Caenorhabditis elegans: one gene and its partner. The protein of the gene in region 2 purifies or fractionates together with the protein of the main gene of each other region. This does not show direct contact. Each region holds a gene or a part of one and is shown on either strand. Other genes may lie near its edges.

Region 1 (17,192 bases), 1.6 Mb from region 2:
TTAGGCAAGCGGCGATACAACATCAAACTGTGGAAGACGTTCACCGATTGCTTTAACTGCCTGCCAGTTGCCGCCATCATCGACGAAAAGATCTTCTGCTGTCACGGAGGACTTTCTCCAGATCTTCAGTCTATGGAGCAAATTCGTCGTATCATGAGGCCGACAGACGTACCAGATCAAGGATTGTTGTGCGATCTGTTGTGGTCAGATCCTGATAAAGTTCGTTTGTGAACATAAAATTCAATGAATGATTACCATTTATTTTCAGGATGTCACTGGCTGGGGAGAAAACGACCGAGGCGTCTCTTTCACTTTCGGACCAGAAGTTGTTGCCAAATTCCTGCACAAGCACGATTTGGATTTGATTTGCAGAGCTCACCAGGTATTACTTAAGATTTTCTGCAAAGTTGCGAACCGAGAAATTTTCAGGTTGTGGAAGACGGTTACGAATTCTTCGCTAAGCGGCAGTTGGTTACATTGTTCAGCGCTCCTAATTATTGTGGAGAGTTTGATAACGCGGGATCGATGATGACTGTCGATGAAACACTGATGTGCTCTTTCCAGGTAAACATAGCGGTACCATCTATATAATTTTAAATACTGATAATGCGTATGCATTCACCAATGATGCAATGGTTAAATCAGACGAGTCTATTTTGGCTATCTATTCGAGTTCTTCGAAGAAATTGCCGCTAAGCGGGGTGAAATTGAGGCATTTGTCTGAGGTGATTTATTAAACGCTAAAACTACCTATCAAACATTAAAATAAAACAATTCGGAATATTTTTTTCAGATCTTGAAACCAGCAGACAAGAAGAAATATCCATATGGTGCTGGAGGAGTTGGTTCAAATAGACCAGTCACCCCACCACGAAACGCACCGGCTGCGCAACCAAAGAAGGGTGCCAAGAAGTAATCATCAGTCGATTTATCTATCATCTGTAAATACCTAACCTTTTCTTTGTTGTTCACGCCCCAAGAGGCCTCGGCCATCTCTCGTAAATCGGCTTCAAAAAGTTGTGTACATTAATTTTGATTTTAAACATAGTTTCGAAAAAGTTTAAATTCGATTCATTATGATCTAGGCTGGCACGAGAAGATGCTGTGGTCCCGGCGAATCTCCTCTCAATTCAAGCTTTCGTTGTCAACATCCCTTCCTCTTTATCTCTGTGGACCATTTAGAGCTAATGACTCCTCACCAATTGCTGGCTCAATTTTTCATCAAAACAATCCCCATTTTATTCGTTTTTAAATTCCAAATTTTAATTTTTTTTGCTAAACTTATCTCTTAAAACAGTATCAAATTTTACTTCTCTAAATGGTCTAAATATTTAAAACAAATGTTTATGATGTCAATCAATCTCCACTCCTTTCCTTCCTCCATTCATTCGTCCATCCCGTACTCTTCGTTTCTCAATTTTATATTGTTAAAACCCCCATTTGTCGATTTAATTCATTAAAGTTTTCCGAACAAATAAAATAGAACACTGGTACAAGCGTGTAAGCAATATTTCTTATTACAACGAGTGCAACGTCTCCAAGGAGAGCGTGCGAGACGAACAGACATCCCCCACGACTAGTGCTCCTCGAGCCGTCTCATCGATTTCTGTCGTTTGTCAGTTATTCAGAAATGCTCCGCCCCGGCTCTTCAGTAAGCTATAATAGGTAATCAGAATGAAGAGAAATATTTTTTGAGTTTTTTCGATTGATTTTCCGTGTTTAGCTCAATGAATCAAGTTTCAATAGATGCACACCCGTCAGATCAGGCAATTATTGTACGATTTGAACAATCTCCTAGTAAGTTTTATATTTTTATTTTCAATTGAATGTGTTACGAAGATTATTTGGAAGTTTGATTCAGGTTCTTCAGCAGGAATTTCAATAAAAAAGCGAGCTTCTTCAGCGAACGTTGAGTCTCTTGGCCATCAAAAAATGTAAGAATCTGATATAAAATATAAAATTAAACTGGAATGCAAATCTGCTTAACAAGAAAAATAAAATAAAATATTTTTAAGACCGTATGCCCACGAAGGTGCACGTATTCTTTCGGATGGGTCTCACCGCGAAAAATGTTTATGGTAACACTTTAAATTTTTTCTGTTGCAAAAACCACAATCAAGATACAGAAAAGTTATTTAATAATTGCTCACAAAACCCCGAATAACAGAAAACGCACGACCGAAAATAGCAAAAAGTGTTGACTTGAGCATTTTGCTCGCTGTGAGACCCATTCCCCATGAATCCATGCCTCTTTAATTTTTAGAATATTGGAAAATAACTGATAAAAAATAATAATCGAATATATATATATATGAGAACCTCAAAATGTCACCTGCATCTAACATTGTACGGCTACAAAATTACCCAAATTGTATTACAGAATCCACTTGAAAGAAATGAGTCTGGATGTAGATATTCGTGCTTTATCAAATGTTATTCTTCAAAAATGTCTTTTCATTCCTGCCACGTCACGAAGTCAATTGGAGCAGGTTTTGTTCTACATTCAAAAAAGAGGAAATCAACGAATAAGTGCGAGATCAAGAAGTTCTTCGGCCGTTTCATTTGATCGAAGGCCTATTCATAGTCCTACAATTAGTGCAGAATTAGGGAAAATAGATGTACGTTTTATAAGAAAACATTTTGTAGATTACGTAAAGTTGAGGAGCATTTGGTTTTATTTTACAAATACGCATAGGCTATATCAAAATTGAAAACATTAATTGTTACATGTTCTAAAATGGAGCAGCTGAAACAAAACCAAGCTCGCTTGAGTGCTTTTGTATCCGGTAGTACCAATATTTTAGAATCTAAAAATTTATTTCGAAAATAATCTGATTAGTTTAAAATAATCTTTGAATGGTTTTCTATACATCATTCAACATTTATATAAAAACAGATTTCTTATTATGGTGAGAGCCTAAAACCAAATAGAACTTGAAAAACTACTTTTGAAATTAAAAATGTATCTTTCAGGAGTACATAGAATGCTTCTACGGTGAAACTTCTGTTGAGAAAAACAAAGGAGCCGTGGCACTTTATGAACTTTCAAAAAATCCTCAAAACCTCACACAGCTTGTGAACAATGGTAGGTAATTCTAGAAAAGCTTACCCGATGACCATAATTTTCGGACGTAATCTATGTATTAAAGTTAACGTTCAAATAACACTACATTTCAGAAACTCTTATGATGGCACTGGCAAGAGTATTCCGAGAAGACTGGAAGAAACACTTTGAAGTTGGAACCAATATTATGAACCTTTTTGTGAATATTTCCAAGTTTTCATGTTTACACGGAATTCTGCTTCATCACAAGGCATGCATGGTTTCTAAACGCCTTCACTTCACCTGAATTTCGTTTAAAAGCTAGATTTGCAGATTGGTACTTTATGTGTAAATGCAATGGAACATGAAACAAAACGGTACGATTTTTGGATTGCTGAGATGAAAAAGACGGATCAAGAGACATTGAGAAAACTAAAAACAGCCATTCGAAAACAGGCGATGCTATTGGCAGGTTTGTTGCAATTGTACATATTACATTGAAAATGGTTCAATTCCAGCATGTGTCACTTTTCTTACCAATCTAGCCACGGATATCAGTGTCGAATTGAAAATGGTCCGAAGAAATTTGGTGGCACTTCTTGTCAAGTGAGTTTAAAGGCGCAGTTAGTGAGGAAATTGTAAAATGCTGAAATATCATAGTAACACTTTTCACAGTTTTTTTTAATCTCTCCACCTTTAATAATTAACACCACATTCACTCATTTTACATTTCTAGATGCCTCCAAATGTCATCAGAATCTACAAGTTCACTAACAACTGCAACTATCAAGTTTCTTCTTAAATTAAGTATTTTTGATGAAAATAAGATTGTAATGGAACAAAATGGAACAATCGAAAAACTTTTGAAACTATTTCCAATTCAAGATCCAGAACTGCGAAAAGCAGTTATAATGCTTCTTTTCAATTTTTCATTTGACTCCAAAAATCTACCAAAAATGGTGAATGGAGGTCTTGTACCACATATGGCATCTCTATTGGACAGTGACACGAAGGCATTGAATATGATGTATTTATTAAGTTGTAATGATGATGCAAAAGCAATGTTAGCATACACCGATGCTATTAAATTGGTGAGTTGGGTCAATCAAAGGAGATAGTCGAAAAGTTACTATACATTAAAGATGGAAAAACGCAAGTGGAAAATTGTTAAAAACCAATCCTATACTAAAACTTTTCAAATTTTTTGATATTATTTTCAAGTTTGCATTCGAATAGTGGTTGTCGTTTGAGCTACTTTATTTGTGAATCAATTGTTTTTTTTGAAATTGTTTGAACATTATTGAAATAGCAATTCAGACAAAATCTACTTACCTCGGGTCTATGTTTTGTTAAACCTAAATATAACGCCACATAGCAAATAGTCACCGATTTTTCCAACGTTTGCTACGAGGATATGATTCATAAAAAAACATTTTTCCAGCTAATGAAAGATGTGCTAAGTGGAACAGGAAGTGAAGTGACAAAAGCAGTCCTGTTGAATATTTGCCTCGAAAAACGAAATGCTCAGTTGGTATGTGGACAACGTGGTCAAGGATTAGATCTTCTTATGGAAATGTCTATCAACTCGAGAGATCTAATGCTCATAAAGGTTGTTCGAGCGATTTCAAGTCACGAAGGTGCGACGCAGAATATGTTTTTGGTAAGTTGAGAACTGAATTATTATTGAACGGTGAAAATAGATAACGAAAAAAAATGAACGTTGTTATTTAAATTTAGAATTTTCAGAAGTGGATTGAAACTCTTATCGGGATTGCAAAAAATGAAGGAGCAGACAACTCAGAGTCAAAATCTTCATTTGGTTTAGAATGCATGGGTACAGTTGCTGAGCTCAAAGTTGCTCCGTGGGCAAAGTGAGCTTTTTGAGTTCGGAATTCCAATCAAAAACTTAAATTATAGAATAATTCAATCTGAAAATCTTGTTCCTTGGATGAAAACTCAACTTCAAGAAGGAATTGATGAATCCGAAGAAGTGACAGTACTTCGAGACATAAAACCTCTCCAACTACAAATTGTAATTGCTTGTGGAACAATGGCTAGGCAATTGGATGCAGCTAGGTTATTGGCTCCTTTGATTGATACATTTGTGCAGTTATTACAATGTACGTTCATAAATTTAAGTTATTTTTTAAGAGTTTGTTTCATAATAAAACCCCAGTAACTTTTGAAAACATAAAAGTTCATTTTTCCTCACAATCAGATTTAAAGGTGGAGCTTTGCCAGTTGGTAAATTACAAAATGGAAATTATTGAAACTAGTTGTGTTTCAATTGTATTTGAACATTCTAGGAAATCGAACATGTAAAAATGTTCAAAATTACTCAAAAAGTACATATTTTTGGAAGTAATTGGCAAATTAACAAATCTTCAGCTAAATCTTTTTTAAAATCTAACGTTTTTGAAGTGTTTTACTGGTGTCATTTTGATCTTTTTTGGGTGTATCGAGAATACAAATAAATTACTGAAAAATATCGCAATCTTTTTTTCAGCATGCCAAATTGATGATGAGTTTGTTGTGCAACTTCTCTACGTTTTCTTGCAATTTTTAAAGCACAAGGTATAACGTTTTAGAGTTTTTTCAACTCTCATATAAATTTTTCAAAGGAACTATCTGCTCGCCTGATGACTCAAGATTCAGCTCTCGGAGCCCATATGATCGATTTGATGCACGATGCAAACGCAGTGGTTCGAGAAGTTTGCGATAATGCCCTTTTGATAATGGGTGAACATTCAAAAGAATGGGCAAAACGGATAGCTGGAGAGAGATTCAAATGGCACAATGCACAATGGTTGGAGATGGTTGAGGTATGATCGTAGTTATTTTAACAATTTATTCGTTGATTGGTACAAATAATATTATGATACTGGTCACTATACAAATATACTATACAAGGTTTTGGAAATTTAACGTCACTAGCATTTCCTAGTTTTATTTCTGTATAAAAATACTTTCAAAAACGAAGACACTCTGACTATCCCGTTAAAAATATGTATCAAAAACATCATTACTTTAAATGAATCTATTTAGTAGTTTACGGTGAGTGTTACGGTAGAAACAGGATAGCAGTAATGCAGCTTGAGTTACATTACATTAATATAGGCTCTAAAGTCACCGGTTAAAAATCGTTTTTCCAGCGAGACGACAGCGAATTCGTAGATTACGATGATGAAGATTTTGGAGCTGATCTCAAATTTGATCACTATGATGATGGATTTGATATGAATGAGCCCCTTTTTTAACTTTTGTTTGTTGTTTTTTTAACCTACAAATTATATATTTTTACTTAATAAATGAATGTTTTGATTTATATGCAAAAAATTAAAACAAAATTCACGTATAAATATTTATCTTTTGAAAGGTCAAATTTTCTCTGGCCATGTAGTGTTTCACATTTAGTGTTTCATTCCTCGAAGTGACTGCTTCATTTTATTCAAAAATGAACAATTCTTCAAATGTTACAACTGCAATAATTTCGGTAAGTTGTGAAACTTTCAATCTTGTGAATCTTAAAGGTGGAGTGAATGGGGACACATATAGTACTTGAAAGAGTCTAGGACTCAAAAATGCCACAGAAGAAAATAAGAGAAATTATTAAGAGACCATGAGATCATGAGAATGCCTACCGTTTTGGCGCGGGAATATCTCGTAGCGAAGGTACCTAAATTCTCATCGCCGCATGTTCTTACAATTAGATTACTCTAGATATCCGAAGAATCTCTCCTGCCGCCATTTTCGCGCCAGAAAGTAGACATTCTCATGCACCGATGGTTTCTTAATACTTGACACGTTTAATTTGAAGTGGAATCTAGTTGCATCGTGGCTGGGAACCTCATTAGCAGTTCTCATGTTAATCGGATTTTCAGACAACAACGATCGATAACTTACTCAAGCAACACCAGTGTGAATATTTTCATTATAATAAACTGGCACTTGGATTATGGATTGTAGCTTCTGCACTTTGCTTCATCGCGTTGTTGAGTACCATTTACTCGGTTTTCAACGCATTTCAACTATGGAGTACGATACAGGATTTGGATAATGCAATCATCGATTTGATTGACGAGGCAAGTTCAACTCTTCAGAAATTGCCCTTTTCGATAGTTGTGAATTGAACACCTCTCTTTTGGATACTTCTACAAAACATTATATTCACACATACAATACACTTGTAGGTTACTGTAGATATCCGAAGAGTCTCTGAAGTACTATCACGACTCTCAAGTCAAATGATGAAAAACTAACGAATAAACTGTAGTTTCGAACTTCTATAATGTTCCGATACAAAAATAAACATTCGATAAGGTTATTTTTAGAAAAAATTGGTTTTGGTCAATGCCCCAAATTATGATAGAAAAGTTTTCATAAAAAGTTATTTAATTTTACTAGTTTCAGGCGTTGCAAATTCTCCTTCCAATCGAAATCTGCAAACAAATCTGTCATCCTAATCATTTGGGTTCTGTCAATGTGAACTACTCGACAAATGGACAAAAACGTATGTCTTTCTCTGTATCTGTCTCTCCAAAATTCATTATTTCAGAGGAAACAAAACCAGGAAAAAAAGATAATCGATATCCAGAAGATGTCACATTTCCACCATCTGATATTGAACGTGTTTATGACACGATGGGAGGTAAGAATCAGAACTCGGTTATTGTTTAGTTGCCATACGCTCCAATTTTCGGCAACCAGCAACTTGGTTGCCCTGGTGGTCAGATAGACAGGGAGTAGGTATTGAGGGGGGTTGTGCAAGTCGGCAAAGCCGTAAGATGTAGGGATGAGGTGGACACGTACGCAGGCAGGTGTGAAGTAAGTATTAGGTAGGCAGAAGGAAAGGGACTGGTGAAGTGTCTGTCTATTTCTTGCAAATAATCGAAATCAATTTTCAGATGAAGATACTCGTAAATCGAAGACTATGACACTTGGAACTATTGAAGAGGTTTGTATGTTCACTCGAGTGTTTTCATTCATTTCAATCAATTTTCAGCCTGCTCCAAAATCGGCCATGCTCAGCTTACAGAAGACACCAAAGGAGAGTGAGACTGATCTGGTTCGTTTTTTATTTTTCGAAATATTTTTTAGCTTTTGTAGTACTCCAAGATCTTGAGCAAAAGTACAACCAATTTTTCAGAAAAAGACATTGCCACGTTCTCCTCCTCCAATTCCGAATCGTAAGCAGCCGTCTCGTGAGATCATGTTGACTCCGAAGCAATCTACAAAGACTGCAAATGCTGGAGGAAGAAGCAAGGAGCCGTCGTTGAATACTGCAATGAGCCAAGAGGCAGGAAATATCGAACCACGAAAGACTCCGAGTAAAGATACAATTGGAAGTACTGGAGTATTGCCATCAAATCAGGATAAGAAGACTCCGAGCAAGGAGAAGGAAAGTGTTAAAAATGTAAGCAACTGAAGAATGGTCCATGATGTTTTGTAATGCTCTTTTTTCAGACACCTGCTCCGACCCCGAAGCTAGGAACTGCAGAGCCCATCTGAACTTTATAGATAAATAAATGCTGCTTTGAATTTTTTAATTGACAATCATTTACTAACTATTAACATCACAACCTCAAAAAGCTCTGAAAAAATGAGCTTCAAAATTCAAAACAATATTCAAGTAATTAAGAAAATCAGCACTTCGAAATAGCAGCTTCAACTGCATTTCTGATTGTTGTCATGGCGACAGATTGATCTGCAGCTTTGATGATTCCAGTTCCACTCACGATCGCATTGGCTCCAGCTTGAGCAGAGATTTCAATATTTTCAGGTGTTACTCCTCCGTCAACTTGAATAGTCAGATTTGGATATTTTGAACGGATTGTGCGAACCTGAAAGCCATAAATTTTATTCGTATCAAATAAAAACCAAAATAAATACCTTTTCCATCATGTTTTCCATGAACTTTTGTCCTCCAAATCCTGGTTCCACAGTCATGATAAGAGCATTATCCAAATGATTAGCATGTCTAAAAAGTTTTTTAATTTAAAATCTAGATTGAAATATAATTTTGATTTTACTTCAAAATATGCTCAACAGAAGTTCCCGGTTTGACCGATAATCCCACTTTCATTCCACTTTTTCTGATTTTTTCGATCAATTCACTGACTGCCACATCACCATCTACAGCCTCATAATGGAATGTGAACTGGCTGGCACCAGCTTTTGCCATCGGTTCAACCCACTGTCCAGGATTAGAGACCATCAAATGAACATCGAAGAATGGTTCAGCACCAAGAGATTTACGAAGAGATTCAACGACAGGGTGACCGAATGTGAGGTTTGGTACAAAGTGACCGTCCATCACGTCGAGGTGAAGCCTGCAAGTTGGGAGCTGGATACTATGGGAACGCAGAAAGTAAATCCTTTGAAAATCCAAGTGGAAACGTTACTTACTTACTGCTAAATGAAAACGCTCCGCCCCTCGAACCATGGGTCTCATTAGGTATTGACATTGATAGTTTAAGCGTTTTCAATTAGTCCTGCCAATTTGTGTTTGAAGATGAAAACAATTTCAATTTGCGATTTTGTGGCCAAATACCTAACGAGACCGTAATCTCGGGGGGTCGGAGCGTTTCCAATTGGCCGTGGAGTACGTTTCCATGTTGATTTCAGAAGAGGTTTTTGTGCGTTCCCATTTAGATTTTTGAAATCTAAAGGGACATTTAAATATGAAAGTAGTTGTCAAAACTATTCAGAATTTCTAAAGATCACCTTACCAATCTGCTCCAGCTGCTAAAAGTTTCTTGCATTCAGAAGCCAATGATGCAAGATCGGCATTCAGAATTGATGGACACACAAATGGACGGAGGGTCATCTGAATTCTAGATAAATAAATTTTATCATCCAGAATCAATGAACAAATAAAGTTATAGAATTAAACTTTCAACTGTAAACTTTCAAAAAAATCTTTAAATAATACTTTAATTCATAAATATGTATACCCAATTGTTTCACATCGAGAAAAAAACGAAAAAGCCAAGAACTCCATTATACTCGAAAGATTACAAAACGAGAAAATTATTTACAAGTAAAAATTAGAAAAACGGTGAGGAATATCACAATGAAAGTGGTGTGCGTTGTATGAAGGGACAAGGGAATAGTACAAAAATCGATTATTCTTATCATTCAGTTTCTATTTTTCATTGACACAAAGTAATAACAACTCGAAAACTTGATAAAAAGTTACGACTGCCGATTGTTAAATTTCTTCGAAAAATACGAAAATCGGAGTTCGAAAAAGTTTTTGAGTTTTTTTTTGATATTTGAAACTGATTAATTGATAATCCAGAAAATTGTAAAAATAAGGCACGATGAGATGACGGCAGCAAGGATCAGTGTGTTCTTCTGCTTTTTCGTTTTGATTTTTTGCATCAAATTGTTAATTGCAGGATATTTTTCTAAAAAAAGTTGTTTTGATAATTATTATGCAGCTTGTAAAACTGTTTTTCAAAAATGTTGAGTCTCAGTTGAAAGGAGGAATTTTTTTTTGAAATTTTTTCGGCTTTTTGGAGAAATTCTAACTTTTGTTTTTCGGTCCAAATTTCAAATAAATTTTTTGTTGTTTTTTTTTAAAGATTTTTTGTCAAAAAACTGTATTGCAAGAAATTTGAACTCAAGTTTATTAGGTCTAAATTAATCTAGATTGACGATTTCAAAAAAGATCGGGTGTTTCAGGAACATTTTTATCAGAAATGTTCATAAATACTTAGATTTACTTTAATTGTTTCCCTTTTAAAGATAAATTACTTGAAATATGATGAAGCCGAGTTGATATTCCACGTAGATTAATTCCCTGTCTGGCCATATTCTCTTTCGTTGACATTGCCATTTCTAACTGTTCATCTAACAATCGATCACAAGCGTTTATATGGTCATTCTCCTGAAATTAAATTAATTAGTACTACTTTCTTGAAATTCTTCCCAAAAATACCTTCAAATACATATCATATCCACGAGCCCTGTTGTTCAGTATAGGATTATTACGATTTTCATTTGAACTGCTCAACAAGAGTTCTCTGAATAATATCGTATTGTTTAATTTAAAAAAAGTATTTTTCATACCTCTGTAATACCTGATCAACATTATCTCTTGCACGTCGATACTCACTACCGTAATCTCGAAGAATTTCTCGATGTCGTCGAAGTGTGTGTTGAATGGCTGGATTATTAGCCCAAGATGCCGAGGATTGAGCACCAGCTACGTCATTCATCTGAAGTTGACGAATTTAAAAACAAAATTGAAAATAAACTAACATCATCATTGATATTTGTCAATTGCTCTATCAATCCTTCGATTTCTGTTGTCACTGTTTTGAAGCTCGTTTGTCTTGAGGAAACTGTTTTCTCGTCGATGTCAAAACCGCCTGAAATATTTTTTCAATAGGAAACATGTTTATTAAATATTTTTCTGAGAGACATGTTCGAAAGTTGGTTATTCAAACGCCAAAAATACTGTACCCGGTCTCGACACGAAAATGTTCTTTATAAATGCCCTTTTTGGTTTTTTCATTAGTTTCTTTTTCTTTTTTAAAGTTTTTTTTTCAGAATATATAATATTTGGGTTTTTCAAATAAATACATATATTTTTTTTGAAACTTCCGCATCAACACAATTCAGAAAGTGCAGTACTCTTCAAAGGCGCACACTTTTTTGTATTTTATGAAAATGTTTCGTGTCAAGACCCGGTATCGTATTTTCTGAGGATAAAATCGTAAAATTCTTGGTAATACTTACCATGAGAGCTAGCCGTTAATTTATTCAGGGAGACGAGCTTGACATCGATGGAATTTTCTGTGCTTCGGGCTTTCTTCCGCAACGCTTCCCAAGTTTCTGACATTCTGTGTTCCTGAAAGTATTGTTTTTTCGAGTGACTGAAATGTTGGTCACTACTATGAGAAATAAATATATTCATCGATATTTTGACGATTAGAAAATTAACAACAAATAAAATTAAACGGAAGTTATGAGTAAAACTTCATTCAAAAACTTAAATTGAATTAAAAAAGAACGAGATTTTCCAATAACGATTCTACGATTGAATTGATTTCGAACAAAACAAAGTTTTCCAGCCAATTGTGAATCAAACTTCTTCGTCATCACTGATATCTTCCATATTGACCGTTACTTGAACGTTTTTGTTGTTACGACGACGTTGTTTCCTGCTGGGACCTTCAGCTGAAAAAAATATGTGTATTACCACTTTGCCATTTTTGATAAGAAATTACTGGATCCGGTCATGGCGCGACAGAAACATTTATGAACTTTTATGGATTACTGTAGTTGCGAATTTTCCTTGCTATTTATCTCGTTTCTTTGATGTGATCACATCAAATACTTTTAAAAATTATTTTATTTAATATTTGTTTTCAAAGAAATTTTAAGAGCAATGTCAATGAAAAGGCAGATAAAGTATTAAATAACTGGGGGTGGCGAACTACTGTACTCTTGAAAGGCGTGAGACCGGGTACTGTAACTTTGCATCAAAACTCGATTTTTTTGCAACTATAGACCTATAGGTTATGATTGAAAAAAGTTTTTTGTTTGATTACCTGGTTGAATACTTCCTGCTCTACTTTGATCAGCCGATCGCTTCAATGGGCCTGGGCTTGAAACTGAAAATAGAAAGTATGAGGATATTTGAAATAAGAAGATTTGGGGAATCAGCTGGGAATTATTTGAATCAGGAATGAGTATATTCAGCCCAGTAATTAAAACCAACAAATTTTGATTTTATGCTTCAAAAATCGTTAAATTATCGAACAGGTATTATACATCTTGGTAGGTAGGCATGCGTGGTTTGAAGGTCTAGGTGCCTGCCTGAAACCTTCCAGCCTCTCGCCTCTTTCTGCATTCTGACATTACTTTACGAATTTATATTTTGTAATTTCAATCAATTTAATGTGAATCAAATTGAGAAATGAAAAAATTAAATTCATGTGTATTTTAGCAGAAGGCACCGGTTTGAGGCGCGAGGCAGGCATTTTGACGCCTACGTGGAAGTCCAATGATGGGGAGTAGAAATAGTCAAATTTGAAGATTATTAGCGTCAGAAGTTCTAATCGTAATTTTTGGAAAAACCCTCTGTTACGATTTGAATACTGACTGCAAAAATAACCAAAAAACATTATGAAAGAGAGAAAAATCGAAAATCCAAGAAAGAAAACGCGTCATCATGTGAAATCGTTTGTCTGTACCTTCTTCGTAGACTCTTCCCTGTCGTCTCGCTAATTCTCCTCCCAGTCTCTTCTTTCTTTCGACTCGTTGTCCATAATAGTGAGAAGCAGCGGGATCCTCGTTGATGCTTATCGACCGCGAAGTCGAAGAATAGTTGCCGCCAACAGATGGATTTTTAGATTCGTGATGGGAACTGTATTCTCGATTATCATAGTTGTGCTGGCTGAAAAGAGGGGATAATAGAATATCAGTTAATCTGAAATTCTACAAGATATGGGGGGGGGGGGGGTTGAATAGGGGGAATAAAAGTAGAAAACAAAATATATTTCCTCAAACTTTTTTGTGAATGGACACAAAATGTTTCACAAAGCCTAAGCTTGATGTAATTCTAAACGAGTATCTCAGAGCTTTACAGATGGCGATTAGAAATCTCAAACGATCGATTATAACATTCTGAGCCACAATTTTCCCATTTTCAAATATTTTCGTTCAGAGTCTTTCAATGATTAGCCAGAACGAATTCAGTTACTTCAGAACTAGAGGTCACTGTCCGATGTTTCTGAATTCGAAAGAAACAATGAAAAGTTGAAAACTGTGATCGTAATCGAAGGTTAATTTCAATTAAATAATCAAAGAAAAATCAATTGATTGTTACATCTCAAAAAAATTAGACGAATATATTGGGAATTTAGTGGAATCTCTCATATCAACTTATCCTTCAAAAGAGAAGGCAGAAAAATATGAAAAAAAACAGGAATATGGGATAGTATTAAAAAAGGACTTGTTCAATTATTTCAAAAACGTACCCTGTATGACCCGCATGAGTTCTACCATTCTCGAAACATTCTCTATCTCTGAGCTCTCTTTCCCTCAGCTCCATCAATTGCTGCCTCTTTGCCAATTCCATTTCTCGATGCCGAATTTCAGCTTCCATTTGCATATGCATTTTCTTCGCGTTGATCATATGAAGCTCTTGCTCAATTTCCATAAGTCTTTTTTGTCTCAAAAGTTCATCTTCGGAAGCTTCCAAAGGTTGTGAATGGAGAGAAGCAAGAGAAGCGGAAAATTGATTCGTGTTGAAATCTTGATTTACTTGCTGATTCGGTTGATTATATTGTGGAGTTGTGTAACCATTAATTGCTTGATTTATCAAATCTGGAACCATCGGAGTATATTGTGAAGACTGTTGATATGAAGAAGAAGAAGATGGAGTTTGATTTGGAAAAGAAGAATATTCTGATGTCTGGTACGATGGGAAAACATTGGAAGTTCCAGAAGTTGGAACGGTTGAATAGTCACTCGTGGCAGATTGTGGGTTCCAATGGTTTCTTGTTGGATCATCATAAGCAGATGCCGAGGATTCAGATATTGGTTCGTGCACTGCAACACCAAACGAAATGACAGAAGATGTTGATGTTTGTGTTGGATCCGTAGCTCCACCATATACAGGAACAGAACTCGACGAAGATTCCAATTGACGAGAAAAATTGGCATATTCTGATGGTTGATATGGCTGATAAGTCGTAGAAGTGTCTGGAGTTGATGCAAGGAAAGTCGAATATCCATTTGTTGAAGGATCGTAATTCCATTGACTCTCGGTGTTAGGCCTGAAATTATACTTTGAAATTTTGTAATTAATAATTTTTTATTCAAAAATTGCTTTCTTTATTTTAATCGCTCGATTGTCAACAGGGCTGATAAATTTTTAATTTTTGACACAAAAATCCCAAAAAAACACTTTCAGTAAGTACATTAAACACTTTTCATAATTTGCAATTTTTTAAAAAAAGAAAAATGTGGTTTTTTAATAGTCTTCTCGAAATCTATAAATCTTTAATAGACTCTACTTCTTTTTGGTTTTTTTAAACCAATTTAAATGTTTTGATTTTCGTATTTTTTTGGTCCAAGATCAACACCTAAAATTTTTTTGTAATTTTTTCCCCAGCCCTGTTGTCCGAACTTGTAAAGTTTTTTAATCACGACTTACCAAGTATTTCCGATATGTTGATATCCTCCGGATCCTTCCGAACCTTGATAGTTCGACGAAATATCAAAACCACCATTGTAATCTTCTCCCGTTCTTTGCTTGAATGATCTGGCTTTTTCATCAAATTTGATATCCATCAGTGGTTTGGCGTTTTTGTTTTTTTCCTGATTTTTCATCTGTTTCTTTTGATTAACATTCTGTTTCGGCGGAACAGCTTCCATGTGTGCTTGTTTTACCACAATATTGGCGAGATGAGGTTTATTAGCTCTTTTCATAAATGTTTCCTTGTTGAGAAGCCATAGCAATCTGCATTTGAACTTTATTCTGCCTTGATGCTTCGTTGTATAAGTCGGAAACTGGGGATCACTCTGTAGAAACGTTTATTTTAAGGTAGAGTTTTCAAATTTGGCTTAAAATGGATAGCAATGATCGAATAAAACTGTTTAAAAAATTATGAAATATACCAAAATGTTTAGTCTTTTTTTTTGTGCAAGTTTTTAATATTTTTGCGCTTTCAGTCTATATTAAAAAGGTTTTTTTCCGTTTATCTTAATCTCTTGATTTGCGACATAGTTCGTCTATTTTTCAGAAGTCTTTCCGTAAAGAAACCTTAATAACTATAAAACTTCGCTAAAACTTCAAAATTGCCATTAAAAAAGCTATAATTTTTCTATTATAAAAATGTTTGAAAAATTGGCAAACTGTGTTTTGAGTCAAATATTACAGAAAAATGGAGAAAAATCGATAAATATAGCCAGAAAACGCGAAAATCTCAAAACATTCAACTAATTTTTTTGAATTTTGAAAAATTGAATTTTTTTGAATAATAGAACTTTTTAACAGTTATATTAGATAATTAAGGTCCATATTCTGCCATTTAAAGCGAATTTTTAATTTTACTTTAAAGTAGTAAATCAAAAAAAAACTTACCAATGTATTCTCTTCAATATGGATCTTCATTGCCTTTTTCTCCAGTAAAGTGAGTTTAGCCTCCTCTTCTGCCACAAAAAGCCCGTTCATACTTGCCGGTTTACCAGTATCGGTGATTCTGAGAAAAACAAAATAAAAAATGAAAAAATTAAAGACTTTCTCACAAATTTTTCAAAAACTTGTTGTTTAGATTTTGTTTTTGTTTCTGTTTTTGCTTTGGTGGTTTCGGAGGTTTTTCCTTCCTTTCTTCAGGCTTCTCAGTAGAGTTGACCACAGTTTCAGTTGAATTTCCATCGGTCTCCTTGGGTTTCTTGGGAATTCGCGCAGATGGGAGTTTGCGTGCTTCAAGTGGAACTCCGATAACTGGGATTATCTGGAAAACATTTTATATCGATTATTCATTTTCTATTTTTTGTCTAACATTTTCAAAAAAAGTTTAATGATTTTTTGGTATTAAAAACAATTTATAATTTAAAAGTTATCGCAAGTTGTGAGTAAACAGAAAAATTACCTTATTATCCCATTCCGATGACATTTTGGGAAGAATATTCAGCTGAAATTGTGAAATTAAAGCGTTTTCTGTAGTAAGTACAGCTGTGCAACAGACTTTACGACACCGCCCGCAAACACTATGACGTCACGACGCACCACTTTAACGTGGCAAAGTTTAGAAGGGAACAGTTAAAAAAATATATAATAAAGACGATTTTTCAACGTCTACAAGTTTACAGGGAAAAGAAGGGAAAAATTATAATTTATTCATTAGTTGAACAAAGCATAACATTTATAACACTAGTATTAAAACATTTACAAATGGAAATCGCCACTACATTCCTTCTAGTCATATTCCATTCCTCCGTGTTGATATTGATTTTTAGGATACTTCTTATTCCCACCGCGACTCTTTTTTGGGAATGCTGAAAATGAAACTTGCTTGCAACAAACCAAAGTTATGTCTTATTACCGGGCTTAATTTTTCCTTGATAATGATGGGAGTCAACCGGCCGATTCCAAGAGGATGAACCTGGAAAACATCCAACTTATCAG
Region 2 (13,053 bases):
TGTGAATAAATATTTCTTGTTCTCATCTATTAATAGATTTTTTTTTCGTCTTTTTTAAAAGAGTATTTGTCTCTTTATATCTCTTAAAACATCTTTTAAATAAGTATGTTTAATATATATTTATTTTCAGACCTTTATGAGTGAGGAAGAAGGTCGTGAGAGGGCGGTTACCGTCGAAGGAGATGCTGAATCCATGAATGATGGTAGGGCTTTGGTACAACCGCCAGCTAGAAGTGGAGATGTTATTACGTGAGTTTAGACCATGGCTGCAGATTTTCGCTCTTTTTCGGGAAAAAAGTAAGAGGAAAATGCATAATTTTTTTCCGTTTTCCAAAAAAAAATAAATTCGAAATTCTTTTTTTCGTGTCGAGACCAGCTACCGTATTATTTGCAAAAAATTCCAAAATTCGTTCACATGCATATTATTCGTTATTTTTCAGACCCACCAGAGCTGTTCTTACACTTTCCAAATCCATGTTCAATGCCGGATGTTTCTCCCTCCCGTATGCTTGGAAACTTGGAGGTCTTTGGGTATAGAATCTTAAAAAAATTGACTTCTATCATTAAAACATTAAATACTTTAGGTCTCATTCGTAATGTCTTTCGTTATTGCTGGTCTTAACTGGTACGGAAATCACATTCTCGTGAGGGCGAGCCAGCATCTTGCTAAAAAATCCGACAGAAGTGCTCTGGATTACGGTCATTTTGCGAAGAAAGTTTGTGACTATAGTGATATTCGATTTTTGAGGAACAACAGCAAAGCAGTCATGTAGGGGTTTCTAATTTCTATACAGTTGAAAAACCCAATATTTTTCAGGTATTTTGTCAATGTGACTATTTTGTTCTACCAGTTGGGAATGTGCAGTGTCGCGATTCTTTTCATTTCTGATAACTTGGTAAATCTCGTTGGCGATCATCTCGGAGGAACGCGGCACCAACAAATGATTCTTATGGCTACAGTATCGCTGTTTTTCATTCTTCTCACCAATATGTTCACTGAAATGCGTATAGTCTCATTCTTTGCTCTCGTCTCTTCAGTATTCTTTGTTATTGGAGCAGCGGTTATTATGCAGTACACTGTTCAGTAAGTGTTGAATTTGATACATTTATTTTCAATTTCGAAGTTAGATAACTGATCAAAAACTTTTCAGACAGCCAAATCAGTGGGACAAACTACCCGCCGCTACGAACTTCACCGGGACAATTACTATGATTGGAATGAGCATGTACGCATTTGAAGGTCAAACTATGATTCTACCGATTGAGAATAAACTTGATAACCCGGCCGCTTTCCTCGCCCCATTCGGAGTTCTGTCGACAACTATGATCATTTGTACTGCATTCATGACAGCTCTCGGATTTTTCGGATACACTGGATTTGGAGATTCTATTGCTCCAACAATCACAACGAATGTACCAAAAGAAGGTCTTTATTCAACAGTAAATGTATTCCTTATGCTTCAATCTCTTCTTGGTAATTCCATTGCAATGTACGTCGTCTACGATATGTTCTTCAATGGATTCCGTCGGAAATTCGGTGCCCGATTCCCAAATGTTCCAAAGTGGCTGTCAGATAAAGGATTCCGTGTCTTCTGGGTGCTTGTCACGTATCTTATGGCAGTTTTGATTCCAAAACTTGAAATCATGATTCCATTAGTCGGAGTTACAAGTGGTGCCCTGTGTGCTTTAATTTTCCCACCATTCTTCGAAATGATCACCTTCTGGACCGATTGGAAGGTAAATATGAATACAATTTAAAAATCTTACTAAATTAAAAAAAAATTCCAGGGACTTCTGACATATCGTCAACGTATGACAAAGATCTTCATCAACCTCGTCGTCATGGCTATTGGAGTATTTGCCATTATCGCCGGAGTCTACACAAATATTCATGCAATTATCCAATCATTCTCTCAACCGGATCCTTAAATCTGTTGACATATCAGTTTTCATACCATTCATCCCGGTTGTCACACTTTTCAACATTTTCTCACTTTTTTCGATCATTCCATCACCTCGAATTCTATCCTAACACCGGTACATAGTTTTCTTCTCGCTTTTTCTCATTTTTCCATGTTTTATTTTATGTACATTTCGAACTTTTCCCATTTTCTCATTTTCCCTCCCCCGCACCCAACATACACTAGTCACTTTGTCCCCCCAACGAACTGGTTAGTTATTTTTTATTGCATTTATAATTATATTAGTATATTTTATTTCCTGTTGAATTCCATGAAAATGTCTATTGTTTGATGAACTCGTCGAAACGACTTTTGAACGTCTTGAATAGGTTACTGTAGACTTCCACGTTGGCAGAAATAGGTTGGCAGGCAAGTGATACATTGTCACATGGATAATATTGGGAATATGTTTTCGTAGTTTTAGAGTGTACTGAAATTTTAGATTGGAATATATTAAATATTACTTTCAACTTACCATATCTAGATCTCATAGCTCCACCAAGAGCTGCTGAACCATCAACATCAATTGTGCAGACTGGCATTTCAAAGACATCAGACAAAATTTGTAATAAAACTGTATTACGAGATGCTCCTCCAGTTACCAAAATTCGACTACAATCGGATTTCTTAAATCCCATTTTTTGAGTGTAAAGAAGTTTAAAAAGACATTGACTTTCAAATACTGCTCGCGCAAATTTCTGAAAAAAAGTTTGAAATTCTTTAAGAACTATAAATGAAAAAGATAAACCTCTGGATGTTTATTTTTCAATTCTTCCTCAGAACACTCAAAAGTATAATCTCCTTTTGGTTTTCTGGGTACAATCTCATCTTCATCGAAGAAAAAACCAATATAATTATCATTTCCAGCTGGAGTTTTCTTCATTATTTTATCCCATTTGTCCCACGAACTATTGTTCAGGTTACGAGCTCTTTCTCGGGTTAGTGAGCCGTTTTTGAAACTGTAATTATGTATATTTTTTAAAAAAACTGGTTAGGGAACAGTCCGAGATATTTTACTCGGGCGAAGTGGAATAACCTCGGCATTCGGAGGCAACTTTCTGCCATCAATTTGGCAACTTATTTTAGTGGCACTAAATAAGTTGTCAAGTTGCTAACGTGTGGCAGAAAGTTGCCTCCAAATGCCGAGACCATCTGAGTTTTGCACTACATTGATTTTTTCAGTGATCTTAATAATTCCAGGATTCAAAAAAAATCTATAACCTATAATTTGAACTTACCAAACCATTGCCATATAACCACTGTTTGGAGCAAAATGTGAGAAGACGTGAGCATCAATATTTGGCTCAAAAGTTGGTGTGAAAAAGAAGACGGTGTCACTTGTACCAAGAGAAATTCCTATATCCGTTGGAAGTAGAGATAACCCTGCCAGGGAAGCTGAAATTATGGATAATTGCTTTTTTCATTATATCTATAGATATCGGCCTGAAACGTCTATAGATATCGGTCTAGGCTTAACGGACAGTAGGCATAAAGCACTGATCTACTGAAAATTCAACTCACAAGGATTATCCCCGAGAAACGGTAGAACTGTACAATCCGATGGAATCCCAAATCTACGAGTCCAATAAGAATGAACATGTCCCTACAAAATATTTGTTTTTGAATTTTTCAATAAACATTTCACTTACAGTAGAAGTCATTGGATGTACAAGTGTTCCAAGTTTAGATTCAAGATCTGACGATATAAAATCAAAAAGTGGTTTGTGCCAGTTTTCGGTCTGAAATTTCAAGTTTCAAATTTCAAATTTGGAAAACAAAAATTAAAAACCTTAATATTCATAAGGTTCATTCCACTTCCATCAGTCAATTCAATTAGTGCATATTTTCCAATTAGAAGGGATGCGAAGAATGATGATATCAAGGATACTTTCTGAAATTTCAAAAATTGAATTTGAAATGTTGATCTATATAACTTAAATGCCACAAACTCACTTCCGTATCCTTCCAAACGTCTTGTTTCTCGTCCACAATTTTCTTAATCTGAGCTGCACTGAATCTATGATGAGCTCTACTTCCAGTTAGTTTAGCCATTTCTTGATCCCCTCCGACAAACGTTTCCAGTTCCTGGCATTGTTTTTCAGTGCTTGAATCCATCCAAATCGGGCTTTTTTGTACAGAAAAACACATCTGCAAGAAATAGAGTGGAGAGAGAAGGAAAACAAAAATATAACTATTCATAATTAGCATTATTTACTTTTTTATAAAACAGTTAATTTTTTATTTCTTATTTTTAATTGAATAACTTAAAGGTATACTTACCTCCAATTGTTCAGCTAAACTCCTGCTCTCATCCAGACCCTTCAGGCTGTTCTCTGCTCCATTCTTCCAATATACAGTACCATGTTGTTGTGCACATCCTGATATTCCTCTCAGTTTATCTGTCCATCCATTTTCTCTAAGATCATTGAATAAAATATCAATGGCTTCAATCCACATGATTACAGGTGAAGTGATAACAGACCCGTTTTTATGTACACCATTTTCTGTTCTGAAATTCTAGTATTTAGTCTTAATCTCCATCAGATTCTTCAAACCCAAATTTTTTCAGTTTCTCGTGAGTTGAAAAATTGATTGCTGTAGTATGAACTACTTTTCCATTTTGATCAATTATTACTGCTTTTATCTGAAATTTTGAAGGTTTACTGTAAAAGTAGCAGTTGTAACAAACCTGTTGTGTGCTCAGATCAATGCCTAGAAATCCATCTTTCATAGTTCCAAAAGCTTTAGACTCTGTAAAAATCGATTTTCAAATAGATCAAGTATCAATTTTGGTATCATTGAAACAAAAATCGTATAGACAATACAAACACTGTGACGTATGTCTCTCTTTGAAGAACATCTGAACTTTGATACATCGGATCAAATATTATTTTATTGATGCTCAATGAGCAAATGGCTTCAATTCATAATATATGTATAAGAATGCACGTTTTCCTTAAATGTTTGATTTCTTTAAAAATGGTTGTGGATTCCATTTTGAAATTCAAAGCGAAAGTGTAGTTAAACTACATATTTGAAGCCATATTCAAGGAGATTTCAGAGGAAAGTACATTTAGATTAGGAGATTTAGAACTTTCAAAATAGATTTTATTCGAGGAATTGGGAGATTAAGAACATGATCAAAGAAAAAAACATTTTCTCACCAAGTTATGATTTCAAAAGTTATGCGACGATAACCTAATTACATGAAAATTCACAAAAACCTTTTTTTTCACGATTTTAGAAATGCCTTATTTTTATGTAATTTTTTTCGAATAGGTTTATTGAAATGCCAACAAATTATACGGAAAAGTGGGTGATTTGTAATGAAAAAAATAAGTAAATTTTTATGCGATTCATGCGTGTTCTGTAGGCGGGCAGGTAGGCATATTTTCGCCTATGTGGAAAATTAGATACGAACTAACAATTTGGCCATTAGTTGCAATTTTATGAGAGTGTTAGGCCTGTTCTATTTATCTTCTTCATATTATGAAAAAAATCAATTATAATTGAATGCTTATTGGATTTTCCAATCACAGAAATCATTTTAAATTCACAAATTGTGAAAAATGCTAGGCTACATTGTAAACCTAATTTGTCACAGTTTCCATGAAAGCACAGAGTTTCGAACTTTCCGTAGTGTACACTTTATCTTTTGTCTCCTTTGCAACCAAAAAAGTCTCGTTGGGAGTTGTGTGTTAAACTTTAAAAAAAAATTGACATTTTTTTAAAATTTGAAATAAAACTATTTTCAAGGCACGTGTGCCTGGCTGTGTTTCAATGTACAATTATTATAAGTCTATGAAAAACTTGTCTAAGCTCCCCAAAAACTTTGAGTTAGACTGTATATCCGTGCATTTTACTCATTTCTCTGGTTTTCTGAATCTTTCCTGCAGAGCCACTAAATCTACAGTAATCATCTACATAACACTTGACGCAACTCATCTCCACTTCCTCTTTTCAACCGCGCCCTAACAAACAAATGTAACCTTTGAAACTTGCCGAGTTTTTTGTCTTTTCAACATGCTCTCAAATGTTTCCAATCACTAACCATGTAGCTCAATGTTCGTTTTGTCTGACAGCTGTGTCCACACACGTACATCCATCTACTCCTTCCTTGTTCCTTGTCAAACTCAGTTTTAGCTCGTTTTTAGTGCATCCCCTCGTTATTACATACAAGTGACAAAATCAGATTTATGAATTATGAAACTCAAATTGGAAAATATCACACTATTTTTAGAAAATTGTATTGCATACGGAGAGTATAGTCTTGAAAATGTTCACTAAAGAAACCGCCTATTCTCTGAATATTTGTGTAAGCATTTCTATTGAAGCTGAACATTTGAAAGTTTCGTATTTTTAATTTTGGCTAAAAATTCACCCTAGAAACATTAGAACGTAGGCGCAGGTAGGTGTATTGTGCTTTGAAGGTACAGAGGAAGGTTTAGCGTAGTTTTTCTTTAAATATAAGATTTTTTTGAAAAGTTCCTTACAAAGTTCCAAAGATATGTTCCAGAATCAAAAGAAGATGAGACTTTTGATTTACTTTTTTTGGAATTTCAGAAGTAGTTATAAGATTATGTCGATTTACAAACGAATTTCGTACATTTGAAGCCGCATAGCTTGAATCGATAGACATAGACTCTGCCGTATACACAATTCGTGTTTTACCGTATATCTTCTATTAATATGGCCTCCCTATTAGACTTGCACTCCCTATTAGTGTTGCACTCCCTAATAGTCTTGCGTTTACTTCTTTGGTGCAAACCCTCTTTAGTAATTTTAAGATTTTTATAACACTTATTGCTTATTTTGCAACAGTTTTTCACAACAGTTCTACGAGATTAAATGTTTTTGAACTTATATGTTACAATTAAAATCAAGTTTTCTGAATTTTCACATAAGATTCGAGCTTTTTCAAAAAAAAACTAGCAAGCTCAAAGTCAGAAAAATGTTCTGAAAATTAGTATTGCACTCCCTAATAGTCTTGCACTCCCTATTAGTATTGCAAGCGGGAAGACCATCGAAAAATAGTATTGCAGCCATATTAATAGAAGAAATACGGTAATAGAATTACTTGACTTAAAGTCATTCACTCGTTAATGAAAAGTATGCCGTACATACTACATTTTCTATTTTTGGCATCAACGTGTAACCAAAGATACCGTCTGATTTCTGTTTTAATTGTGAAAGTAAATGTCTATTCCCTAAGCAAAGTTTCGTATACAAATGTTCACGAAATTTTCAAATATATGGATGCTGTCAAAACTCATCAAAATTTAAAATGGAGTCTAGTCATATGTCAGAAAACTAGTTGCGTGTCAAATATCCTATCCCGCTCTATCAAACACAAAATTATAAAATTATGAAATCCTGATGTGCTTTTTGTCTTAAAATTTTCAATTCAGTAGTGCTACTGAGGCCATAAAAAAAGAACTACTAATAGTCCAAAATGGCCGAAAATAATAAAAGTTTTAATATTTGAAAAATAATTTTGCATATCTGAACAAGGGAAATCAATTATTTACAACAATTGGCAGTTTTGGCAATTTTTAAACCTAGCTATATTTTGAAAATTTAAAAAAAACTGTATTTGTTTTTAGTACGCAGATATTATGCTTGAAAGGTGAGAATCTTTCAATAAAATTTACCTTTTGGTAATTGCTGAAAGTGCTAAATTTTAAAAAAATTTCCAATTCAGCAATTTCCAAATTATCGAATTAAAAAATTCAATTCTCTGATTAAAAAATTAAAATTCTCTAAATTTACAACAACAAAAATTAGCATTTTTTTCTCAGTTTTTGAGTTTTTTGTTTCAAAAATCAAACTTTTGCGAACTTGATAATTGTCAAATTGCCGAGTTGCCAAAAGTTTTGAAATTCGGCAATATTTGTTTTTAAAAAAATATTTTTTTTGGTCATCGACTTCCAAAATTATGAGCCTGATCCCCTTCTAAAATCAAGATATCTATATCAAGACAAGTACCAGTCGATGCCAATACTAATTTGTCGTTTCCTATTGCTCTTTCCATTTCTTGATGCTCTTCATCTTTTTTTCGTCTCACCTCTCTTTTTTTTTCCATCTCTCTTATATGCTCATCTTCGTCCCCTTTCTTCGTTTCCGTCTCCCGTGTGTCGTCTACCACAAATGGGCTCAATCATGCATCGTGTTGTCTTTTCACTTGTTTATCGATTCCTCTTGTGCCCCCCGTTTTCCACCCGTTTTTTCTACTCTCTGCCCCCACGACGGTTGCCCCGCCCACTAAGTATGTTTTTCGTTTCTTTTTTTGCATTCATTTCTCATTTTTCCATCATGCCTCCGTCCGGTAATCTATCTGCGTCTACCTATTTTTCAGCCACGCATTTTCTTTTTTTTTTGAGAATGCAATTTTCTCTCCACGCTACTGAAAATAACGTAATGTTCCCGCTAAAAAAATCATGCTAACTTTAAAACTTCAAAACTACTTATACCTAGATCGTTTTACCATTTTTCCCTAGTAACACTTCAGAAAGTACACAGAAAATAAGCCTCTTAACTGGCGATGTTTTTTTAATAATAGACATAGTCTGGCATTTATCTTTAATTATTTTTAGTTTTCCATTAAAAGATAATACTTCTAATCCTATCGGAATAATAATAAAAAATCACATAAATCTTGTGTGGCTTCATCTTGTAAGCACACAATGGGTATGACGAACTGTTAGAAATACCAAGAAGGGATTAGGAAAACGAAAAAAAGTTGGAATTCATACCTTGGCGAACATTATTACTTTTTATGAAGTTTGGTGGTTTTGAATCTTAGTTTTTAAAAGCTCACCACATTGGCAAGCTTTAAGTATTCTCCGCTAGAAAATTGTTTCAAATAATTTTAAACTTTAATGGCAAAGTTGCAAAAATTTATTGCAGCTTTATGAACAACTTAAGATTTAAAAAATTATGATTTTTGTCATACTCTGTTTATTAGAAAGTTGGAATCTATTTTCCGGTGTGAGAACTTGATCGCATAAAACAATTTGTGCGAAATTCGTCACAAAAATCAAACGTAGTTGGAAATTGTTCAATATAGCGCTAGTTCAAGGCTAACAGGTGATTTTTCTATGAAAATAATTTTTTTTCACTTTCTTCCATAGTTTCAGTAGTAAAATCTTGTAATGTTGAAGAGATTTCACTATTTTTACGGAATAGAGCTTTAAAAAAATTGTTTTTGACCGTTTTATTATTGTCATTGAAAATATCAATTTACGATAATTCGTTAATTGTTTTCAATTACAGTCATTAAGAGACAATTACTCAGTTTTTAAATACTTATTATAATTTCGGAGATTGATCAAAAAAATCTTTGAATTGTCTAACTTTTTGGAAATTTGGTAATTTACCAACTGACTGAAAAAGTTTAAAAATCTCAAAATTGAAATTTTTTGGACTGTACATACACTTAGACTGAATCCATAGAGTAGAAAAATACTACTGTAGCCCATCTCTACCAAAATGTAAATTTCCGCGATGAAGTTTGTGCTTCTGTGTGCAAACAATCAAATGTAACCTATAAATGCAACATGTTCGGAGGTACGTCATTGAGCGCAAAGATTTTTTTTTTTGAAAAACAATCATAGTTTCTAACAATTGATGAAAGGCTAGTTTCTGATTTCCTATGTGAATCTGGCGCCACGTGGTTTGGTTCTATAGCGTATTATTATATTATTTCTCGTTCAATAGATATCAGATTACACTTTTCCCCCCATTTAGTTCATCACCTATAATAAATCCTCACAATTGAAGAAGTTATTCGTGGGAGACATTGGATAATAAAAAATGAATGGGAGAAAAATTCAAAATAAAAAAGAAAGAAGAAAATAATGAAAAGAGTGAATGATGAGAGAGAGATGGGGATAGAAAGAGAGAAATTGATACAATGTGATAAGATAAGTGACGCGTTCGGTTTATCATCACCGCGCGTTTCGAAGACGGGAGACGTGAGGTTTACTACAGAACTTCTTCTTCTTCTTCTTGTCACGTTGAAGTTCCGTGTTTCATTCGACGGATGCAGTTTCTGATCTCTTTTCGTCTCGTTTTTCTCTGAAGTTAAATTGGAGTATACTTGAGCCTTAATGTTTTGTTAATCAAAGACGATTTCATTATATGTAACAAATTTCCCCCGTAAATCGACAAAGTTCTCTGGCCGAGGTTTCCGCTCTTCTTTTCACAACTGTTTATTTTTTGAAATCGAAGTACATTGCGCTCCAAAGCCAACTGTAACGCTCCGCCTCTATAATTTGGGTCTCATTAGGTATTGTCGGCTCAGTAAAAATGATTTCAGTGTAATCAATTTGTAAATACAAATTTGAACAAATAACTTCAATAAAGAACAATTCTTCGAAAACAGTGAGAACAATTTGAAATTGCGGTATACCTAACGAGACCCAACACTTGGGGGCGGAGTTTTTTATTTGGCGTTAGCGCACGATTGCTTCATCTTCTTGTTATTTTCATGAATATCTATTTGCCTATTCTCACCACTTCAGAAAACATTCGTATTATTGTTTGTTGTTTTGAATAACATGTCAGTAGTATTAACGAGAAAAAACACGCGAATAATATGCTTAAAAAGCGAAGATGAATCGAACATCTTCTCCTCACTGTTTTTCGTTTTTCTCTCTCTAAACACTAATCGGCTCACCACCGTCGACGTTGTCGTCAGTCAAAAAAAAGAAGCGATTCTTCATCCGATTCGAAAAACAAGTAGTCGTCGTCCTCGTCCATCAATTTCTTCTTTTTTTCGCACCTTCCTTCCGGTCTTCTTGGCGCCATCACTTATCAGTTCTCTTTCCATATTTCACAATGTCATGTGCTTTTCGTTGCTTTCCATTTACTCGAAAGACTTTTTCTTGATTAGAATTCGATATTACACGATTCTTCAAAATCTGAATTCGAATCGTTTTACACTCAATGCGAGATATTTGACGCGCATTTACCGTATTCGGAGAAACTTTTCGTCATTATTTCTAAATAAATAAAGTAAGATATTTGATAATAATAGAGATAAAATAGACACCAGACACCATTTGAGAAGAAAAACACACCATCCCAGTGATTTATGGTTATCAACATGCATTTATTTAATAATTGCTGATTGTGCCGACGGTTTCAAGAAACATTTATTGTTTTATTTTCTTGAGTTTTTGCCAGAAATATTTGAAAAAAAAACATGTAAATTTACATTTTATTAATAATTGTTCACAAGGAAACTGTAAATTTGAATTTCCGCCAAAATAGGTCCGCAATGCCCATTGCGTACAACACACATAATAGACGACAACTTTTTGTTTCTGGAATTTTCGAATTATTTTTTTTCGAGTATTTATATCTTTTTTTATGAGTTTTTTCCTGATTTCTCCGAGAATTTTGTTTCTATTTACAATATTGAGCTTTTGTTCTCTTTGAAGTTACAAACGGACGGCTGTTCGGTCGATGAAATCTGAAATTACCGTAATCGCAGACAAACTTTAACCAACTGCCGTTGTGTTGTCTACTGAACTTTCCCGTTCTCTTGTCTCGCGCCTCCATTTTTTCTTTATCTCACATTTTTCAATGTACTACTCCCCTGTTTCATCATCATGAACTCACAATTCATTAGAAATTTTTTCAAAAAATGAGGATAATGTTTCAAAAGATAACCTCATCCGTTCATTTCGCGTCTCTGTTCATCTTCTCTAACCGTCTAACATCCCTCCTGTCCCATACGTGCTCTTTCTCATTTCCCGCGTCTTCGTCAGCTGGCAACCAGCCAAAACGCATTTATTCATCATTTGTGTTTCTCTCTTCACCCTCCACCATTCCGCCTACGTTTCTTCCCATTTTTTCTCTATTTTCTCACTCTTTTTTTTGCGTTTTCTTCTATTTCCTCATTGAACTTGTTGTTTCTTCACTCTTTTTTCGTTCTCGTCGTCACTTTGTTCGGCTCTCGCAATCGTTTCCGACGTATTTTGACAGTGCAGCAGCAGAAGAAGAAGCAACCTAAGTCGGCAAAAGAATGAAAAACAAACAAAAAACTAGCCTTTCCTGTACACGCCCAGTTTCTCCCTCCTTCTCTGCTCCTTTCGTGACGTCAATTTTTGATCTCTCTTTAAAATTGAGATATTTCAATTTTTCCAAATCTTAAAATCAAAAAATTCTCAATTTCTTTCTGTTCTTTCTGTTCTGTGTGTGTTTTTTCTCTATTTTCTCATCAAACTAAGTGCATTTTGTTGACCAGATTGTTCCCGCCCCCCTTCTCTACCACTTTATTTCTGTGTGTCTTCTCGGAGGGAGTATTCAGTGTATTCGCAACAAGCATCCAAAAATGAAAGGTTTCTCATGTTGTGTGTGTATGTGTTATCAGCTGATTATTTCGTTTTAGTGATAGTGTGTGTATATGTGAAATTATTCGCGCTGCCCTCAATACTTGTCTCTCGTTTTATTTTTAAAAATTAGACTTTTTGTTTTTGAAAATAAGTCGTGCCCTATTGCAAAATAATACTTGTCACTTTTGAAGTGAATTAAGTTTTTTGAAACTATGAAATCTGAGTTCAGTGATCTGAAATTTCAGTTTCGATAGTCTAAAAATATCAAAGAATTATCGTGTTCTCCGTAGCTATCGTGTGTTTCGTATTCAATTCATGCGTAAGAGACTTGAATTTTTAGCGAGAAAATTCCGAAATTCGAGTCGCCAATGCCCGATGCTCACGTCACGATGAGCTTTTCGACGATGTCTCCTTTTTCTTTTCATATTTTATAACAGGTCAGAGGCTACTGATCTTTCCACCTTTTCAACTATCAAACTTTGACTTTCAATAAATCCACAGTTTTACCCACGTGTAGTCTATGTTTGTCCTCCTCACGTCATAGGATCATCTGGCGCAAGGAATGACACCCTCTAACACTGTCACTTTTTACGGTCTCGATTCTTTCGCGAAGAAACCGTTGGTTCCATTGATAGTTGGTCATTTGGAATGAGAAAAAAAGTAAAATCGCGTGCGCACATACCTCTTTTGTCTGACACTCTCACTATCTCTCTTATCATTGCCTCATCCTCAAGTCATCATCATATCGCATG

Evidence for each region.
Region 1: the proteins of R08D7.7 (region 2) and F08F8.7 fractionate together in Caenorhabditis elegans (co-fractionation; one large-scale study listed by BioGRID). This does not show direct contact.

What each region holds. Positions count from the first base shown.
Region 1 is NC_003281.10:7,337,274-7,354,465, forward strand, and holds F08F8.7 (Ribulose-phosphate 3-epimerase), read right to left. Parts: upstream 9,877-17,192; 5' UTR 9,870-9,876; coding exon 9,772-9,869; intron 9,373-9,771; coding exon 9,073-9,372; intron 9,021-9,072; coding exon 8,933-9,020; intron 8,884-8,932; coding exon 8,686-8,883; 3' UTR 8,582-8,685; downstream 1-8,581. Other genes in the region: gsp-2 (Serine/threonine-protein phosphatase PP1-beta), read left to right, coding at 5-219, 269-382, 430-564, 794-916; kap-1 (Kinesin-associated protein), read left to right, coding at 1,728-1,797, 1,862-1,934, 2,381-2,618, 2,974-3,085, 3,178-3,323, 3,377-3,515, 3,562-3,649, 3,780-4,134 and 6 more; F08F8.6 (uncharacterized protein), read left to right, coding at 6,498-6,536, 6,925-7,125, 7,454-7,553, 7,599-7,691, 7,948-7,997, 8,046-8,108, 8,190-8,456, 8,507-8,551; gos-28 (Golgi SNAP receptor complex member 1), read right to left, coding at 10,328-10,452, 10,802-10,934, 10,986-11,070, 11,117-11,265, 11,309-11,418, 11,789-11,891; F08F8.9 (uncharacterized protein), read right to left, coding at 12,135-12,229, 12,604-12,666, 13,249-13,451, 14,035-14,835, 15,216-15,583, 16,146-16,263, 16,310-16,518, 16,657-16,680; F08F8.10 (Nuclear transcription factor Y subunit), read right to left, coding at 16,983-17,062, 17,110-17,169.
Region 2 is NC_003281.10:8,983,864-8,996,916, reverse strand, and holds R08D7.7 (putative sugar kinase R08D7.7), read right to left. Parts: upstream 4,713-13,053; 5' UTR 4,693-4,712; coding exon 4,651-4,692; intron 4,606-4,650; coding exon 4,517-4,605; intron 4,471-4,516; coding exon 4,242-4,470; intron 4,110-4,241; coding exon 3,915-4,109; intron 3,853-3,914; coding exon 3,751-3,852; intron 3,701-3,750; coding exon 3,611-3,700; intron 3,565-3,610; coding exon 3,483-3,564; intron 3,357-3,482; coding exon 3,200-3,356; intron 2,921-3,199; coding exon 2,710-2,920; intron 2,660-2,709; coding exon 2,437-2,659; intron 2,392-2,436; coding exon 2,243-2,391; 3' UTR 2,171-2,242; downstream 1-2,170. Other genes in the region: putative amino acid transporter skat-1, read left to right, coding at 137-249, 441-531, 585-769, 818-1,084, 1,152-1,737, 1,789-1,929.